Linked DNA regions of Macaca mulatta. The protein of the gene in region 2 purifies or fractionates together with the protein of the main gene of each other region. This does not show direct contact. Links are inferred from orthologs where the notes say so. Each region holds a gene or a part of one and is shown on either strand. Other genes may lie near its edges. The genes, in order: SNU13, NOP58 and NUFIP1.

What was found.
Region 1: the proteins of NOP58 (region 2) and SNU13 fractionate together in Homo sapiens (co-fractionation; 3 studies listed by BioGRID and IntAct, with this or other methods). This does not show direct contact. The link is inferred for Macaca mulatta from reciprocal best matches to the Homo sapiens genes NOP58 and SNU13.
Region 3: the proteins of NOP58 (region 2) and NUFIP1 purify together in Homo sapiens (co-immunoprecipitation; 3 studies listed by BioGRID and IntAct, with this or other methods). This does not show direct contact. The link is inferred for Macaca mulatta from reciprocal best matches to the Homo sapiens genes NOP58 and NUFIP1.

Annotation. Positions count from the first base shown.
Region 1 is NC_133415.1:9,821,695-9,825,444, forward strand, and holds the start of SNU13 (NHP2-like protein 1), read left to right. Parts: upstream 1-1,120; 5' UTR 1,121-1,203; coding exon of another isoform or gene 1,204-1,206; exon of another isoform or gene 1,207-2,894; intron 2,895-3,222; exon of another isoform or gene 3,223-3,472; intron 3,473-3,750.
Region 2 is NC_133417.1:107,472,846-107,476,495, forward strand, and holds part of NOP58 (nucleolar protein 58), read left to right. Parts: intron 1-348; coding exon 349-494; intron 495-555; exon of another isoform or gene 556-643; intron 644-2,158; coding exon 2,159-2,285; intron 2,286-2,432; exon of another isoform or gene 2,433-2,516; intron 2,517-3,650. UniProt on the Homo sapiens protein: Required for the biogenesis of box C/D snoRNAs such as U3, U8 and U14 snoRNAs. Part of the small subunit (SSU) processome, first precursor of the small eukaryotic ribosomal subunit.
Region 3 is NC_133422.1:24,297,384-24,301,133, forward strand, and holds the start of NUFIP1 (FMR1-interacting protein NUFIP1), read right to left. Parts: upstream 2,321-3,750; 5' UTR 2,285-2,320; coding exon 1,873-2,284; intron 1-1,872. UniProt on the Homo sapiens protein: Binds RNA.

The DNA.
Region 1 (3,750 bases), on a different chromosome or scaffold from region 2:
TCCTATGAGATACTTGGATCTGCCTGTCCTTCTATCTATTATCAAACATTTAATAAACACTGTATTGAATACAGGTATTATTGTTTAACCACTCAGCATCCCTTTCTCGTTGCTTGCAGTATCCTGATTTCCCATGGGGTAATTACTTTTCCCATCTTAGGATCAGTGTTGGTGGGAAAATAAATGCTACCCTGAAGACTCTTTTACCCAAAGGTTCTATTCAAAATAAATATCTGAGCAGGCAGGGACGTCAGCCAATCATAATGAGCCAGGACTTAACCGTTTAGTGGCTGAATTTTTTTTTTTTTCAGACCGAGTTTTGCTCTTGTTGCCCAGGCTGGAGTGCAATGGCGCAATCTCTGCTCACTGCAACTTCCGCCTCCCAGGTTCAAGCGATTCTCCCGCCTCAATCTGCCGAGTAGCTGGGATTACAGGCATGCGCCACCACCCTCGGCTAATTTTATATTTTTAGTAGAGACAGGGGTTTCTCCGTGTTGGTCAGGCTGGTCTCGAACTCTCAACCTCAGGTGATCCGCTCGCCTCAGCTTCCCAAAGTGCTGGGATCACAAGCGTGAGCCACCGCGCCCGGCCTTGTTTTGTTTTGTTTTGTTTTGTTTTGTTTTTTTGGTCTTTGAGTCTTGCTCTGTTGCCCCAGCAGGAGTGCTGGAGTGCAGTGGCACGATCTCAGCTCACTGCAGCCTCCACCTCCGGGGTTCAAGCGATTCTCCTGCTTCAGCCTCCCAAGTAGCTGAGTTTGCAGGCGCCCGCCACCACGCCTGGCTAATTTTTGTATTTTTAGTAGAGACGGGGTTTCGCCATGTTGGCCAGGCTGGTCTTGAACTCCTGTCCTCAAGTGATCCGCCCGCCTCGGCCTCCCAAAGTGCTAGGATTACAGGCATAAGCCACTGCGACCGACTGGTGGGTTATTTTTTGAATCTTTAATTCATTGTTTCTGCCAATAATTTGTACTGGACAGCTCATAAGAACGCCAAAGTACGTTCCTTCATCAACACAGAGCCAGTTTCCGCGCCAGTGCCCCGTAGGGGGCGGGGCCCGCTAGCTCGCTTGCGTAGCGTCATCTTTGCTTCCTGCCGCGCGGGGCCGTTTCCGCTGCTGCTTCAGTGAGTTTTTCCGGTGGAGGCGAACGCTGCTCAGAAGTCGGCTGCGCTCTCCTAGAAGTGCCGAGCCCGCGGAACAGCAGCCATGGTGAGTGCGTGCGCCGGCCAAGGGACCGGGAAGCAGGAGACTCGGGGTTGCGTTCACTCCCTGGCCTGTTAGATGAAGGCTTAGACCCTGCGCCGTCTCATCCGCCGGCGCTGGGTCTTAACCGCCGGGCCCTGAGTTAGAACTCCAGCAGCCGCGGGTTCCCAACAGCCTGGCCCGAGGTTAGAACTCGAGGTTAGAACTCAGGAAACCTCAGGGATCCCCGCTGCTGTGGTGCTTTGCCGCACGATCTGTTTGCGTGGCAGAAGGTCTGCGGCGAGCGGAGGGGGCATGGCCTAGCGGGAGAAAGAGACCAACCCACGTGGGAGAGGGCAAAAAGTTGGGTGAAGAAAATTTGGCTCCAACTTTTTTTTCCCCTTGTTTCTTTAAGTACGAAATCTACGATGGCGTGGGACCCTGGGATTCGGATCAACCTCTCCTACCCACCCTACCTCACCCCACCCCCGTTGCTGGGGTCCAGGAGATCTCCTGTGGGTGTGCGCCTAGTGCTCGCCGCGAGTCACACGCGCCAGGGACCTAGAGGAGACTTTGGCAATTGGGGGCTGTGGGGAACATGAAGTGAGCGCGACTCACGGCCTGGAGCGCAGGAAGGGCTTCTCCCGCAAGGTGGTGGCTTCAAAACCCAGAAGTCTGGTAGCACCACGTGCGGCGTCTCTGAATTCTTGGTCGTCTCTGACTTTTAAATATCTAGGGAAAGTTCTAAAACGTGTGTCCTGGCGTAGTCGTTTTGGTTGGCACTTGGTGAGGAGGGAAGAATTTGCAAAGCACTGTAACGTTTATAGTTAATCCTTCCAGCGGAGCTTGGATCCCGGCGGTAGCACTCCCCCCAAACCTCCTCCCATGCATTTTGAAGCTTAGTGCGTGGCTGAGCCTAGAACTCGAAGCTTTCAAACTCAGTGCTCGCTTTTATGCAGTTCCCTGAAACGTTTTGGAATCGGATGGTCTCAGGTTGAACTTTGCAGTTTTCCTCAACTGTAAAATGGGAATGACAGTGCATCAGGATGTTGTGAGGATCAGATGAAATAAAGCATGTTAAACATCTAGTCCTCATGCTTGGCACAGAGTGAGCACGCAGTATTTGTTGTCCAATCAAAACCTTGCAAGTTTTGGCTGTCTGGTGTACAGGGAAACCAAACTGATCACGCTAGGTACGGATTTAGGTTGGCTGGTGGTATGCTATCATTCATTAATTTATTTAACCTCTGAAGAAATTGAAAGGCGAATAAATACACCCTAAGCAAGTTTCAATTAGTGTTTATAAGCTAGGTAGTTTGGTTTTAAAATTGAGTTTAACTTTTTGTTTACTAATAGTGAAACATTTAGGTATTTGATGGCTGTTCAGATTCCTGAAGTTTTCCTCTTATGAATTTGATATTTATTGAGAGTTGAGGATCCTGATTTCCAGAGAATGGGTTGTTGGAAACAACAGCAATTTTAAAAGTTTTTTTAAATTGACATATCATAGTTGTATGTACTTTGGGGGTTCCACATAATATTTTTAAGTATATCTATTTTAAAATGTGGGACAGGGCCAGGCACGGTGCCTCATGCCTGTAATCCCAGCACTTTGGGAGGCCAAGGCGGGTGGATTATGGGGTCAGGAGTTCAAGACCTGCCTGGCCAACATAGTGAAACCCTGTCTACTAAAAATACAAAAAAATTAGCCAGGCGTGGTGGCGGGCACCTGTAATCCCAGCTCTTTGGGAGGCTGAGGCAAGGAGAATCGCTTGAACCTGGGAGGCAGAGGTTGCAGTGAGCCAAGATCGCGCCACTGCACTTCAGCCCGGGTGACAGTGTGAGACTCCGTCTCAAAAAATATAAATAAATAAAATAAAAGGTGATAAATTATTAACCAAAATTTCCAGCCGGGTACGGTGGCTCACACCTGTAATCCCAGCACTTTGGGAGGCCGAGGTGGGCGGATCATGAGGTCAAGAGTTCAAGACCAGCATGACCAACATGGTGAAACCCCATCTCTACTAAAAATACAAAAATTAGGCGGGCATGGCGGTGCATACCTGTAATCCCAGCTACTTAGGAGGCTGAGGCAGAAGAATCACTATATCCGGGGAGGCCGTGGTTGCAGTGAGCTGACATCGTGCCACTGCACTACAGCCTGGGTGACAAAGCAAGACTCTGTCCCAAAAAAAAAATAAAATCCCTACTGTAGTATCAAATAAAACATATTTGTATGGCCGGATGTGGTGGCTCACACCTTTAATCCCAGCACTTTGGGAGGCCGAGGCAGGTGGATCTCGACTCACTGAAACCTCTGTCTCCCGGGTTCAAGCGATTCTCCTGTCTCAGCCTCCCAAGTAGCTGGGATTACAGGCACGCACCACCACGCCCAGCTATTTTTTGTTTTTGTTTTTTAATAGAGACAGGGTTTTGCTGTGTTGGTCAGGCTGGTCTCAAACTCCTGACCTCAAGTAATCTGCCTGCCTCGGCCTCCCAAAGAGCTGGGATTACAGGCGTGAGCCACCGTACTCAACCTAAACAATTTTTTTTTTAATTAGCCAGGTGTTG
Region 2 (3,650 bases):
ACTTACAAATTACTGGCCCCAGCTTTAGTATAAAATTGTCTGTGACATTATTATTAGTCCTGTCTTTTTAAATTTTTGCTACTTATTTTCTGTAATAAGTTTTGTGGCATATTTTGTCTTGTTTTTACTCTGATTATTTTTTGGAGGAAGGTGTTGAGGAGACATTTCATGTCTAAACTTAAACCCTTAAATGAGGAAAACTATTATACTAGGTCAAACTTCTTCATTTTTTTGTTTTGTTTAGGCATCCTTTTCATTGGCTTTCTACTTTTTCTTTTGACTGTTTGCTGGATTTTATATAATTTGTTGAAGAGTGATTCTCCCTCATCCTCTGCAAACATTCCATAGGCGATAGGAAGAACTATGCCTCTGCCAAACTTTCTGAGTTGCTGCCGGAAGAAGTTGAAGCAGAAGTGAAAGCAGCTGCAGAGATATCAATGGGAACAGAGGTTTCAGAAGAAGATATTTGCAATATTCTGCATCTTTGCACCCAGGTAAATTTTACTTCTGGAGAATCTAGTTGTGGTGTTACCAGCTCTATAATGCTAATTTTTCTGATGGCAATGATGATTTACACTTACTGTTGTTCACCTGATAACATAAATATGAGGGTGTTCAGTCACTACCTCATCTGATGCCATCATGATTTGTATACTTAAAAGGGGGAAATACATATTAAAAGGAAGTAATTTACAATCATCGTCTGAATAATGAATTAACCAAAAATCAATTAAGACAGCAGAGAAGACGCTGGGCGTGTTGGCTCACGCCTGTAATCCCTGCACTTTGGGAGGCCAAAGTGAATCACCTGAGGTCAGGAGTTTGAGACCAGCCTGACCAATATAATGAAACCCCATCTCTGCTAAAAATACAAAAATTAGCTGTGCGTGGTGGCATGCACCTGTAATCCCAGCTACTCAGGAGGCTGAGACAGAATCGCTTGAACTAGGGAGGTAGAGGTTGCAGTGAGCCGAGATGGCACCATTGCATCCAACCTGGGCAAAAAGAGCAAAACTCCATCTCAAAAAAAAAAAACAAAAAGGATGGCAGAGAATTATGGATTGAGCTTTTTAATTCTGAGTTTTATGTCTATATCTTGTGATTTTTTTTTTTTTCTTTCAGATTTGAAGATAGTCATATGGGAATTAAAGAGAGCATGACACAAATGTTTATTGCTTAGAAACTTTTTTTTTTTTGGGAGACAGAGTCTCGCTCTATAGCCCAGGCTGGAGTGCAGTGGCACATTCTCAGGCTCATTGCTACCTCTACCTCCCAGGTCCCAGTTTAAGCGATTCTCCTGCCTCAGTCTCCCGAGTAGCTGGGATTACAGGCACGTGCCACCATGCCCAGCTAATTTTTTTATTTTTAGTAGAGATGGGGTTTCACATGTTGGCCAGGCTGGTCTTGAACTCCTGACCTTGTGATCCACCTGCCTCGACCTCCCAAAGTGCTGGAACTACAGGCGAGAGCCATTGGGCCTAGGAGCTGCTTAGCGCTTAAATTTTTTTTTTTTTTTTTTTTGAGACAGAGTCTCGCCTGTCTCCCAGGCTGGAGTGCAGTGGCACGATCTCAGCTCACTGCAAGCTCCGCCTCCCGGTTTCATGCCAGTCTCTTGCCTCAGCCTCCCGAGTAGCTGGGACTACAGGCGCCTGTCACCAGGCCTGGCTAGATTTTTTTTGTTTGTTTTGTTTTTGTTTTTGTTTTTTTGATTTTTTAGTAGAGACGGGGTTTCACCGTGTTAGCCAGGATGGTCTCAATCTCCTAACCTCATGATCCGCTCGCCTCGGCCTCCCAAAGTGCTGGGATTACAGGCATGAGCCACCGTGCCTGGCCTAGAATCTTCTAAAAGTACAGTTACATTTTCAGGCAGTGGACTAGGTAGTTTACATACATTACATAAGAAAGTCCTCACTACAGCCATTTTATAGAAAACTGATATTAGGATCACGACGTCACGAGATTGCACCACTGCACTCCAGCCTGGTGACAGAGCAAGACTCTGTCTCAAAAAACAAAAAGAAAACTGATGTTAGGCATAGTTGATGTACCCAGGGTTGTGTAGCTGCTCTTTCATGATTGAGGGCTCCAGTGTTTTAGACAGGAATTTTATACTGTTTTTACTCATGATATTTGTGACTCACTTTATTCCTTATACTAGGTGATTGAAATCTCTGAATATCGAACCCAGCTCTATGAATATCTGCAAAATCGAATGATGGCCATTGCACCCAATGTTACAGTCATGGTTGGGGAATTAGTTGGAGCACGGCTTATTGCTCATGCAGGTGATGGTTTTAATGTAGTTTGTAAATATGAGTGTTTGAAGTATTTTCTGGTTAGGATTTTGTTTACATCTTTAAACCACAGCTATTAAAGAAATTTTAGCTAATAACACAAAAGTAGATGGTATGTAGGAGATCACTAAGGGCCAGGTGTTCAATGATGATTTCTATTTGTTTGCCTGATTTCCTTTTGGATAATGAAGGCATCTTTAGTCACTACCTCTTCTGAGACACTTGTAGTCCATTGTTAGAAGTTTGTTATGGTTAATTAGAATAATCAGATGCATGCAGAAGGATAAAACAGTTAACATTTTCATAATAAAAACTCACTAGACCTAGATTTAAATACAGTTTTAAGAAATCACTGTAGAGGATTTATGCCCTCGATTGATTATCTTAGTTTCACTATTGAGTGTGCGGATGTAATATGTTTGACTTTGAAAAATATTTTCAACAACTGATTTATAATAAAACTTTGTATATGTGTATGGCAGTATTATAAGGATGATATGCTATAATTAAAATGCTATGTAATTGAATACCTACAAATACAATGAAGTGCTGATTCATCATTTTTATGTTACTTGGAGACATTGTTATAATCCATCAAAAAAGATCCCATATCATCTGCATCAGAGTGTTTAAAACAGCATAACTCCTTTTTTGTTTGTTGGTTTGAGACGGAGTTTCAGTCTGTTACACTGGCTGGAGTGCAGTGGCTCACTGCAACCTCCGCCTCCCGGGTTCAAGCAATTGTCCTGCCTCAGCCTCCTAAGTTGCTGGAATTACAGGCGTGCGCTGCCACCATGCCTGGCTAATTGTTACATTTTTAGTTGAGACAGGGTTTTTGCCATGTTGGCCAGGCTGGTCTCAAACACCTGACCTCAGGTGATCTGCCCACCTCGGCCTCCCAAAGTGTTGGGATTACAGGCATGAGCCACTGCGCCTGACCTGGCATATCCTTTAGCTGCATCATTAATCAAAGATTTCATTCAAGTGCCCTCAGCTATAAGATCAGATGATTTCATTGCCTCCACCCATTTTCATAGGTACAGCTAAACTTGTAGCAGTAAGCAATGGCAGGGGTTAATAGAAGTATGTGTTTGTTGGCCAGGCGTGGTGGCTTACACCTATAATCCCAACACTTTGAGAGGCTGAGGTGGGTGAATCACCTGAGGTCAGGAGTTCGAGGCCATCCTGGCCAACATCGTAAAATTCCATCTCTACTAATAACACAAAAATTAGCTGGCCTTGGTGGCGTGAGCCTGTAATCCCAGCTACTTGGGAGGCTGAGGCAGGAGAATCACTTGAACCCAGCAGGTAGAGGTTGCAGTGAACCGAGATTGTGACATTGCACTCCAGCCTGGG
Region 3 (3,750 bases), on a different chromosome or scaffold from region 2:
ATTTTATTTTTTTTGTAGAGACGGGGGTCTCACTTTGTTGCCCAGGCAGGTCTCAAACTCCTGGGCTCAAGCAATCCTCTTGTCTCTGCCTCTCAAAGTGCTGAGATTAGGCTAGGTGCAGTGGCTCATGCTTGTAATCCCAGCACTTTCAGAGGCCAAGGAGGGTGGATCGCTTGAGGTCAGGAGTTTGAGATCAGCCTGGCCAACATGGTGAAACTTTGTCTCTACTAAAAATACAAAAATTAGCCAGGCTTGGTGGTGGACACCTGTAATAACAGCTACTCGGGAGGCTGAGGCAGGAGAATCACTTGAACCTTGGAGGTGGAGGTTGCAGTGAGCCAAGATCGCGCCATTGCACTCCAGCCTGAGCAACAGAGACTCTGTCTCAACAAATTTAAAAACAGAAATAAATAAAGTGCCGAGATTATAGGTGTGAGTTACCCTGCTCAGCCTAAAGTATTTTTTAATCAAGGTATGTAAGTTGTTTTTTGAGACATAATGGTATTGCACACTTAATAGACTGTGGTATAATGTAAAAATAACTTTTTTGCCCCATATGATCTGCAGGAAAACATAACTTTTACATGCACTGGAAAACCAAAAAAAAAAAAAAATTGTGTGACTTGCTTTACTGCAGTGGTCTGTAATTGAACCCACAAGAGCTCCAAGGTATCCCTAGATCTAGAATCCAACTACTTCTCACCATCCTTTGGGCTTCACCTTGGTCCAAGTCTCCAGTGTCTCTCATTTAGACAAGTAATTACAATAGCTTCCTAACCGGTTTCCCTTTCAGTCAGTTCCCACCAACAGACACATTAATCCTCTTAAGTAAATCAGATCATGTCAATCCCCTGTACTACCCACCTCACAACAGTAAAAGTCAGAGTCCCACGATCTACAAAGATATACCAGGTCTTACCCTCTTCCCCCATCTTCTACAATTATACTCCAGACTCAGTCCTCTGTAGCCACGCTGGTTCCCATTTTGATGTATAGCTTCTAAGCCTTAAGGCCTTTGCACTTGCAGTTCCTTCTGCCTATACCCCTATTCTCCCAGATGTATGCATGGCTGTGATCCCTCACCTCCCTGAAGTCTTTGCTCATATGTCACCTTTCTTATGACTAACAATGATATTTAAAACTGCACTACCCGGCCGGGCACGGTGGCTCACGCCTGTAATCCCAACACTCTGGGAGGCCGAAACGGGCGGATGCCTGAGCTCAGGAGTTCGAGACAGGCCTGGCCAACACGGCGCAACCCCATCTCTACTAAAAATACAAAAAATTAGCCAGGCGTGGTGGCGCGGGCCTGTAGTCCCAGCTACTCGGGAGTTTGACGCACGAGAATTGCTTGAACCCGGCAGAGGTTGCAGTGAGCCTCTCTGCAGATTGCATAGGCTGGAGTGAAGTAGATCGCGCTACTCTTCACTCCACCCCGGGCGACAGAGGCGCTCTGTCTCCAAAAAAGAAAAGAAAAGAAAAAAAAAAAGAAAACCCTGCACTACTTACCATTCTTCTTTGTTTTATCTCTCTCCACTGCACTCTTAACCTTCTAATGCACAATATTTTATTTTATTGTCTGTCTTCCTACACAAGAGAGATATTAATATTAAGCTCCGTAATATTTTTTGTATGTTCTGCTCACTGCTATATACCTAAATTCTGGTACATAGTTGGAATTCAATAAACAACTGCTAAATGGAATTAACAGGCAACAGGAAAACATTCCAATCAGATATATTTTGAGATACTAATGACCAGACTCCAAGAGTGCAGAGGCAAGGCAGAGTGGAGTGAGGAAACGGAGAAACGGGAGAGGAAAGAACGGGGAAAAAAGGTAAAGGGGTTGACCCACGTGGAAAAATAGCCTACCTGGAGGGTTGAAGGACTTCTGATGCCGAGGAAACCTATCAGAAGACTGTCTCCAATACCATGATGTCGAAGCGTGGAAATTCCAAGGTTGGCCGTTGGGTTGAGGTTGAGAATCAAGAGGGGACTGGGCGTCGAAAGGGGGTTGCGCCCCGGGAAGAATCTGAGCGTCGAAGGGGGGCGGCGCCCCAGGAAGAGACTGGGCCTCCATGGGGGGCTGCGACTCAGAGGAAGGCTTTGACCCGGCTGCGGGAAGCGAGGACGTAAGCGGTGGTGGCGGCGGCGGCAGCATTGCCCAGAACACCCAGCTGTCCCGTGGCGGGGCAGTGTCGCTCAGCGGCCCTAACGTGGGAGTCAGCTCGGGAGACGCACGCCACCCGGTTGGAGTCACGAAATCACTAGCCGGCTCAGCCATACCACCTGCAAGGTCCGGAGTCTAGCACGCGACTGTGGAGCAAGCATTAGGCGTCACTTCCTTTACGGTGAACTACGCCGCTCAGCCAACCACAGGCCTTACGTCATTGGTCGGCGTCGGGAAACCTTCCATTCTTTGCTGCTGATCGCGGGATTCCATTTGGGTAGTTTTGACGTTCGTGGATAGACTCGTATCTGTGACCAGTGTCAGCCACCGCGGATGGCAAGAGACCTAATCGGACCGGCCCTGCCGCCCGGCTTCAAGGCCCGCGGAACAGCGGAGGACGAAGAGCGGGACCCGAGCCCTGGTAAGCGGCTGCGTCTCCGCTGCCCACCAGGCCCATCTACCCCCTCCCTGGGCCGGCCCTGCTCGCTGAAGAAAGTCGGAGGCCTAGGAGGGCTGAGGAATGGGGAGTGGGCGCGGCCCGACCCGAGAGAACTTTTTTTCCCTAACGGTAGCAGTGGGGAGGAGGCTGGGGGACCCTCCTAGAAACCGAGCTTTTGCGTGATTTGGCTTCGTGATGATAATACATTCTCATTTAGCGCTTAATAAAAACTGCACGCTGCCCTAACTGACTGATATCCATTCAGTCATTTAAGCCGTATAAGGAAAAGACTATTTTCCCATGTTGCAAATGGGTACGCCCAAGCCCATGCCAGCGTAGATCATACTGCTAGCAAGTGATGGAGCGCGACTTAGAAGGAAGCGTTTCTCCTAACCTCTGTGCCATATTGCCTTCTGATTTACAAGAACCTTGCAGATCCTGTTCTCTCCAGCCCCCGACCTGCTTTCCTTGCCTCTAATTCTGTTATTGCATCTGACACATCAGCCCAGTACTCAATCCAGCCTGAGTTGCTGCGCAGTTCCTTAACGCTCTAGGCTTCTGGGCTTCCTCTGGTTACATTTCTAAACATAACTGACAAACATCTCCCTATCCTTCAAGGCCCAACTTAAATGTCATACCAATAAAACCTTTCCAGATTCCCCAAAGCATTGTCACGCCTTTCTTTTTGCCCTCGGGTTTTTTCCTAATTACATTGCATATTTGGTACACTATATTTGAATAATTTGTCGACATAATCTGTCCCCACCATTGCACTATGGTCTTCTACCTGAACACGCAACAGGCACTTTGTATATACGAAACGAATGCTTCTCAGATTCCGCCATGCATACCTATCTGCTTTAATGTTTATCACATTTGTGGACTAGCACCGACAACCCAGTTGGAGAAGAGTAAAGCTGAGTAGCCCTGCCATTTCTGAATCTAATTTTTCTTCCTGGTCTACCCGGAGGTCATGTTTCTACTACAGGCCCCTTTCCAATCTAATTTCTGTTATAACCATTTTGAAAATTATGCTTTCCAGCCGGGCGAGGTGGCACAAGCCTGTAATCTCAGCACTTTGGGAGGCCAAGGCGGGCGGATCACTTGAACTCAGGAGTTCGAGACCAGACTGGCCAACGTG